2 linked regions of the Cricetulus griseus genome follow. The protein of the gene in region 1 interacts with the protein of each later gene in a biochemical or structural test. Links are inferred from orthologs where the notes say so. Each region holds a gene or a part of one and is shown on either strand. Other genes may lie near its edges. The genes, in order: Ncoa6 and Thra.

Region 1 (3,809 bases):
TACTGCTCTCTTTAGTAAACTGTTGCAACCTGGGGGCAATACAGTACATTCAGTTTCCCCCAGAGGATGGAGCCCAAAGGATACAGCATAGTATATGGAGATCGTGGACTCAATACTAGAATTATATCTTTTACTTTTATTAAAGGAACAAAAAGGCTGTTTTCATCAAAACCAAATTTTGAGAAAAACAAGTCCTCTGCTACGAGAAAAATCGATTTCTAAATATGTTATTTCATACACACAGTGAATTACTGATTATTTCTACCTGAGACCTAAATACTGGGCAACCAGCCCTTTGCTGTTGATAGGGTTTTTCTCATTTATAGTGCATAATACAGTCTTAATGCAGTAATGCTTCATTCACAACGTAAACACCAAGGGGCTTCGTGTTCTTAATGCTTTGCTTTTTGCCTCCTTAAGCAGTGTGAACCCTTGCTTGTGTCAGACAATGGGAACAGCATGCCTGAGCTGTTTGTGCGCAGTCTGCTACCTATGAGTACTGCTTAGCTACACTCTAAAGGTAGCAAAGTTTTCTTGCTGAAAAATCTAACTTCCCTGATTTTGGGGGGCTTGTTTTAGGTTATCCTACTCAACCAGTTGAACAGAGGCCACTGCAACAGATGCCTCCTCAACTCATGCAGCATGTGGCACCCCCACCACAGCCACCACAGCAGCAGCCACAACCACAACTGCCTCAGCAGCAGCAGCAACAGCCACCACCACCACCTAGTCAGCCACAGTCTCAGCAACATCAGCAGCAGCAGCAACAAATGATGATGATGCTCATGATGCAGCAAGACCCTAAATCCATTAGGCTTCCAGTCTCCCAAAATGTCCACCCTCCACGGGGTCCTCTGAACCCAGACTCCCAGAGAATGCCCGTGCAGCAGAGTGGCAATGTACCTGTTATGGTTAGCTTGCAAGGACCTGCCTCTGTGCCACCATCACCTGATAAACAAAGAATCCCAATGTCTGTGAATACTCCATTGGGAAGTAATTCGAGGAAAATGGTATACCAGGAGAACCCACAGAATTCTTCTAGCTCTCCACTAGCAGAGTTGTCCTCACTTCCTGAAGCTAGTGGCAATGAAGTACCATCTGTTTCAGGAGGCCCAAATAACATGCCGTCACATTTAGTAGTTTCTCAGAATCAGTTAATGATGACAGGGCCCAAACCTGGACCATCTCCCCTTTCAGCAACTCAAGGTGCAACTCCCCAGCAACCTCCTGTAAATTCTTTGCCTAGCTCCCATGGCCACCACTTTCCAAATGTTGCTGCACCAACCCAGACATCTAGGCCTAAAACTCCAAACAGAGCCAGCCCCAGACCCTATTATCCTCAGACACCCAACAACCGCCCTCCCAGTACAGAACCTTCAGAAATAAGTCTGTCACCAGAAAGACTCAATGCCTCCATAGCAGGACTCTTCCCTCCACAGATTAATATTCCTTTACCTCCCAGGCCAAATTTAAATAGGGGCTTTGATCAACAGGGTTTAAATCCAACAACTCTGAAAGCCATCGGGCAAGCACCTTCAAATCTTACCATAAATAATCCTCCTAACTTTGCTGCCCCACAAGCTCATAAATTAGATTCTGTGGTGGTGAATTCTGGAAAACAGTCTAATCCTGGAACAACAAAACGGGCAAGTCCAAGTAACAGTCGCAGGTCTAGTCCAGGGTCCAGTAGGAAAACTACCCCAAGTCCTGGAAGGCAAAATTCAAAAGCCCCAAAACTTACTCTGGCTTCTCAACCAAGCACAACCCTGTTGCAGAACATGGAACTGCCTAGAAATGTATTGGTCTCCCCCACTCCAATTGCTAATCCCACTTTATCTGGAAGCTTTCCTAACAATAGTGGGCTTAATCCTCAGAATCCCAGCGTGCCTGTGCCTGTGCCTGCAGTGGGGGCTGTTCTTGAGGATAACAAAGAGAGTTTGAACGTTCCTCAGGACAATGATTGCCAGAATTCCCAGGGTAGGAAGGAGCAGGTAAATGTTGAGCTGAAAGTAGTCCCTATCCAAGAAGCTAAAATGGTTGTCCCTGAAGATCAGTCCAAAAAAGATGGGCAACCTTTGGATGCTAACAAACTCCCCAGTGTTGAAGAGAACAAAAATTTGATGTCTCCTGCCATGAGAGAAGCACCAACATCATTAAGCCAACTTCTTGACAACTCTGGAGCTCCTAATGTGACCATTAAACCCCCTGGGCTTACAGATCTGGAAGTAGCACCTCCAGTAGTTTCAGGGGAAGACCTCAAAAAAGCATCTGTCATTCCCACACTGCAGGATCCGCCTTCTAAAGAGCCCTCTAATTCCTTAAACTTACCTCACAGTAATGAGCCGTGTTCAACCCTTGCGCATCCAGAATTGAGTGAGGTCAGCTCTAATGTTGCACCAAGCATCCCTCCAGTAATGTCAAGGCCTGTCAGCTCTTCCTCCATTTCTACTCCTTTGCCCCCAAACCAAATAACTGTATTTGTTACTTCCAATCCCATAACCACTTCATCTAACACATCAGCAGCCCTGCCAACAAACTTGCATTCTGCCTTGATGTCAACAGTTGTCACAATGCCCAACGTGGGTAACAAAGTTATGGTTTCTGAGGGACAGTCCGCTGCTCAATCTAATGCCCGGCCTCAGTTCATTACACCTGTCTTTATCAATTCATCTTCAATTATTCAGGTTATGAAAGGATCACAGCCAAGCACAATTCCTGCAACCCCATTGACAACCAACAGTGGCCTGATGCCTCCCTCCGTCGCAGTTGTTGGACCTTTACACATACCTCAAAACATAAAATTTTCTTCAGCTCCTGTAGCACCTAATGTTCCCTCCAGCAGTCCTGCTCCAAACATACAGACAGGCCGGCCGTTGGTCCTTAGCTCACGTGCCACTCCTGTTCAGCTGCCTTCCCCTCCTTGTACATCCTCTCCAGTCGTCGCTCCTAATTCTTCTATCCAGCAAGTAAAAGAATTAAATCCAGATGAGGCTAGTCCTCAGATGAACACCTCAGCAGATCAGAGCACTCTGCTCTCTTCACAGTCCACCACAGTAGTTTCTCCCCTTTTGACCAATAGTCCAGGCTCCTCTGCCAATCGGCGAAGCCCGGTCTCATCCACTAAGGGCAAAGGAAAAGTGGACAAAATTGGCCAGATTTTGCTGACCAAGGCTTGTAAGAAAGTTACAGGCTCTCTGGAAAAAGGGGAAGAACAGTATGGTGCAGATGGAGAGACTGAAGGCCCAGGGCTAGAGACCACAACTCCTGGGCTAATGGGAACAGAGCAGTGCTCCACAGAGCTGGACAGTAAAACCCCAACACCCTCAGCACCCACGCTACTAAAAATGACCTCTAGCCCCATGGGCCCAAGCTCCACCTCAACAGGACCCATCTTACCTGGCGGTGCTCTCCCAACCAGTGTACGCTCAATAGTAACCACACTGGTACCCTCTGAGCTCATCTCCACAGCGCCAACCACAAAAGGCAATCATGGTGGCGTAGCATCTGAGCCACTTGCAGGTGGCCTAGTGGAAGAGAAGGTGGGACCTCATCCAGAGCTTCTACCCAGCATAGGTATGTACTTGAGCTTGGCATCAGCTCCTCAGGTCAGGGTTTTGTTGACCTGTCCCACAAAAGAGAAAGCATGAGCCCTTTTCTGCTTAGAGGAAGAAAAATGGCCATAGTTGTAGATTTACTTACTGAAAGTACATTGAAAAATATGCTTTTAAATCCCATATTCAGTTTATATTCATTAACATGGTTCCTTCCTAGCTTCTGAACTGATGACGTGTTTCATTTTCGTGTGTGTG
Region 2 (4,521 bases), on another chromosome or scaffold:
AGCCTGTGTGTGTGTGTGTGTGTGTGTGTGTGTGTGTGTGTGTGTGTGTGTCATCACCAATAACTGTTACCTTCCACTTTACTCTTCCTCATCCCAGTTTTCCTTCTCTTCCCTTTTGTCTCAGGAGCCCCAAGAGAGGCATCCTTCCTTCCCCACAAGCATTGCAAACCCTTAAAATCCCTTGTAAGAGAAGTGGCTCCGTGGTTCAGGGTGTAGGTGGCTGAGACTAAGATGAGCAAGGGCAGCCCAACTTGGATAGACTGTTGGTCAGCATCCCACTCAGCAAACGATTCTATCCAGTATAAACTGAACGGTTAGAAGAGCAGCTCCCCTGACACACTCACTGGCTCCTCCCCAAGAGCAAGCTGGGGAGGCAGGGCTCCGCCCTGGCAGCCGTGGGAAGGCTATGGCCCCCGCTGGTAAAACTGGGCTAATGACAGCGGGGGAACCGGCGGGGCCAGAGGGGGGTGCTAGGGTAATTAGACCTCTGCCTGGCGGTAGTAGATCCCGAGATGAAAGGGGCTATGGCGTCACTGACAGGGTTTTATGTCCATGAATGCAAAGGGGTGTGCGTGTGTGCGCGCGCGCGCGCGCGCGCGCGTGTGTGTGTGTGTGTGTGTGTGTGTGTGTGTGTGTGTGTTTGGTGCACGTGCGTGCGCGTGCGCGCGCAGGGGTCCGGAACTAGCATGGAGACCTCTCCTTTGAGAAAATGAGTCCATCTATTTGCAGCCACTCTGCTCCTTAGGTTGGCCCTGGAACCATTTGGATTTTGATGGTGCAAACATGAGAGGAGATCGTACCTCAGTGAAACTGGGAGCCGAGGGACAGTAGAGAGTCTTGCCCACCCCCCTCCCCAAGCTTAGCACGGGCTGTATATTGTTGGGGAATGGCTGGTGGGCACTGAATAGAAAGAGCCTCTATGGAGAAAAGAAACGTTTGCAGGAGGAGGCAGTGGATCCAGCATTAATGTTAGAAATGAGAAAGGAGGCATGAAAATGAAAAATGAGACTCCAAAACGGTTAGAAAATAAAATGGTTGAAGTTAGGAGGATTTCAGAAGTTACCTGCCCAACACTTGGATTTTAAGCTCTAACTAACCCTGGCAGCTGTAATTTGTTCAAGGTCACACAGAGAGTTGCTTGGAGAGAAGGGACCCGAACTATGAAACAAACCTATCGTTTGGTATCTGGGCTTTCTCCCGGATTTATAAGGTGCAGAGAACTCCCCGAAACTTCCCCTCTACCTCAGGGTGCAAACCAGAAAACCCCCAATTCTCCCAGCGAGTAAAAAGCTATTAAAAAAAAATGACATCTTGCTCAAAATGTGTCACAGAGCCTCCTCGCTCCTCGACGGAGCCTCAGGGGTGAAGTGGGCGAGTCCGAGCCTAGTAGAGGCCAAGGCGAACGAGGGGCTGCGGGGCGACCAGCCGGGGTCCCGGGGCGCGGCGCGGGCCGAGGGGCGGGGGCCGACGGCTGCGAGGCGGCCTGCAGGGAGCAGCCGCGAGCCGGCCGGGCGCGCGGAGCCGGAGCCCCAGCCGGAGCGGGGCGGGGGAGGGAGGAGCCTGAGCGGCCGCCGCCTCTGCCGGAGGAGCGCCGGGGCCGCCACACTCGCCCCCCGCCCCCCGCGCTCACTCGCACTCACACCCCGGCGCTGGAGGCGGGCGGCCCGGGCCCAACCGGCCCCCCATGGACGCCCCCAGCACGGGGCGCTGAGACCCCCGCGTCGTTGCCCAACTCGGTTCAGCGCGCCAAGCCAAGGTAAGGAGGAGGGAGCGAGGGGGCATTAATATGCAAATGCATCGCGATTGATTATGCAAAGCCGCGGGTCTCTGGCCAGCTCGGAGGCGGGCTGGGGGCGGCCAGGGGGTTCCCGTCGCCGACCTGTGCCTTTCCGGGCGCCCGGGTGACCCTGTCACAGCCCGAGAGCGAGCCACTGACGCCCTGGGAAAGGGAGGTGCTGTTAAGTGGTCGGTGGGCCCCGGGGTTCGCTCGCGGAGATGGCGTCTGGGCCTCCCCTTCGAGGGCCCGCCCGGCCTCTGTCCGGCCGGTCTGCTGCGCATTCCCGGGTTGGGCCCCGCTGCCTGCCGAGGCTCCCCCGCCCGCCGCGCCGCGGTTTGTTTACGGTGTGCCAGAAGCCTGTCGTGCCCCCCCAACCCTCCCCCCTCCGCCAAAGAGGGCGAATGGCCTTTGCAAAGCCGCCTCCAGCTACGGAGGGCAATGTGGGTGCGGCAGGGTGGGGGGGGGCCTTGCATGGGCTGGGGGAGAGTGAAGTCCCCCTCCCCTCCCTGCTTTCCCAGTTGAGCATGGCTTTCTGGTTGCAACACTCCTAATTGCAAAAACGCGGCGGGTGGGGTGGGGGGAATGTGAGCCTGTAGTAGTGGGGGTGTACTAGTGGATGGTCCCTGGATGATTAGGAGAATTGCTGGCCTGTGGTGGGGAAGAGAGGAAGCAATGGACCCGTGTTTGTGTGAGTGTGTGTGTGAGTGTGTGTGTGTGTGTGTGTGCTCCCCTGTTTCCCTCCCTTTGCAACGTGTCTCCGGTGGCCCTTTTCTGTCTAGGGCCCTCCCTTGTCCAGTGTGAAAGGAAGGCCTGGGAAGATGTCAAAGGCAATGGAGAGAGCCACCCATTTCGGGGACCAGGGGTGGGGGGGTACACAGAAGGAAAGCCGGGGAGATGGGAGCCTGCCCCTGAATGCTGGCTCTGGACCCAGGAGGGGGAGGGGATGAAGGGGGCCATTGTCCAAGATGAAGGGGGAGGCAAAGGTGACATGCAGACACAGATATGCCCACACAGACAGCCACACGAACACTCAGGGACACCCAGGCAGATTCAAGGACAGGAGCTGCTGGACACACCCACATGGGGACAAGGGAAGAGGCAGACTGCTGCTGCATGGTGGAGCTCAAAGGGGTTGGACACACCCACGGGAGACCAAGAGCAGAGAGACAGCCTGTGCACATACCCACGCACAGGGTCACAGGGAGATGCTGTCACACACAGGGGCAAGGAAGAGTCGCTGTCACTATCACATGCATGCATGCATGCATGCACACACAGCAGTTGCACACAGCCGCACAATTACAAAAGACCCTGTCACTCACAAGCACACACGAGCTCACATGTGCCCAGTCATGCAGTCATCATTGCTTGCCATGACAGTCACTGCCACTCAGTCAAACAAAAAACACAGCTACACATCAACACATGTGTACTCAACTTAGCAACAAGTATTTTCCTGGGTTCATCTGTGGAGCTGAGGTTCTATGGACAACAAAACCTTTGCTACCGAGAAAATCAAATTCATCTGTATAAAAAGACTTTTCTGCATATTGGTGCACAGGATGCATTCCTGATAATATAGTCTGTTACTGTTGGTTGTCATACCACCCAGTTACTAGATGGCAATCTCCTTGAGACATGGGAGAACCTCTAGAAGAACCCTGGATCCCACCCAGAGCCTAGCACAGTGTGTGCTCTGTAAACACTTGTTAATTGATTGACTGTAGGAACTCCAGGCACAGGTGCACTCCTTTACACCTAGTCTCACAGGTGCAGGGGCCATGCACAGGGCTCCCGAGTGCAGTCACAGGTCCCACCTGGCAGTGTCCAGATAACCCTTGCAGATAGACACATTGTAGCTAGGGCAGGAACGCACTTAAATGCACACAGCCACAGACTATTCCCTCTGGCTTCTTTCTATCTTCTAGGCTCAGCCACTGTGTAGCAATGGGCTCTCCCCCCCCCCTTTTAGAGGGACAGAGAAACAAGAGCAAAGTGGGTACAAAGGGGGTTCCAGAGGGCCGAGTCATGGGCCTGCAGCAATGTCCAGTGACTTCTAGCAGCTGGGATTGTCCTGGTTGCTGGGGGAGGGGTGTCTGGGGAAGAGTTGGGAGTGGCTCTCTGGCTCTCTCTCATCCCTAGCCTATAAGCCAGTGGGGACCTGGCTGCCCCTGCTAGGGTTTATTTGGCTGGGCCTTTCCTGGGGACCCTTAGTTGTCCCCAGCTGAGTGCTTGCCTCCCACTGTGAATCTGCCCCCTTTCTCACCTCTGGCCCTCTTGTCCAAACTTGGAAGCTTTCCTTGGGAGGCCGTATGCTGGCTGGCGAATGTCTGTGTGAGTGAGGTGTATTTTTGACTTGGAATTTCTCTCTAACTCTGTCTGTCTTTCTGTTGCTGTCTTGGGGTGTCTGACTCTCTCTCCTTGTGTCTCTGCCAGTCTGTAACTCTCTCTCTCTCTTGCCCTGTGCTTGTCTTCATTTCTGCCACGGTCTCTTTTCTCAGAGCTGGCAGCAACATTCTTCATACTTTTCCAGTTGTTAATGCTCAAATTCGGGCCCTTTGGCCCGCCCAGCCTGCTTCTGGGGTCAGCAGGAGGTTGGGGGGGTGGGGGGGTGCTCAGCTGGCTGCTCAGGACATCCTGCCTTTCCTTAATGCTGCAGCTGCGGCTGGCCAGCATGTTTTGGGGGCTGGGGATGGGGAAAGGGAGGGGAGTAGACTCCCCTGTTGACCCCTGAATCTGGCAGG

What was found.
Region 2: the proteins of Ncoa6 (region 1) and Thra form a complex in vitro, tested with the Homo sapiens proteins (2 studies listed by BioGRID). The link is inferred for Cricetulus griseus from reciprocal best matches to the Homo sapiens genes NCOA6 and THRA.

What each region holds. Positions count from the first base shown.
Region 1 is NC_048599.1:24,227,728-24,231,536, forward strand, and holds part of Ncoa6 (nuclear receptor coactivator 6), read left to right. Parts: intron 1-579; coding exon 580-3,573; intron 3,574-3,809. UniProt on the Homo sapiens protein: Nuclear receptor coactivator that directly binds nuclear receptors and stimulates the transcriptional activities in a hormone-dependent fashion. Coactivates expression in an agonist- and AF2-dependent manner.
Region 2 is NC_048600.1:111,824,765-111,829,285, forward strand, and holds the start of Thra (thyroid hormone receptor alpha), read left to right. Parts: upstream 1-1,590; 5' UTR 1,591-1,756; intron 1,757-4,521.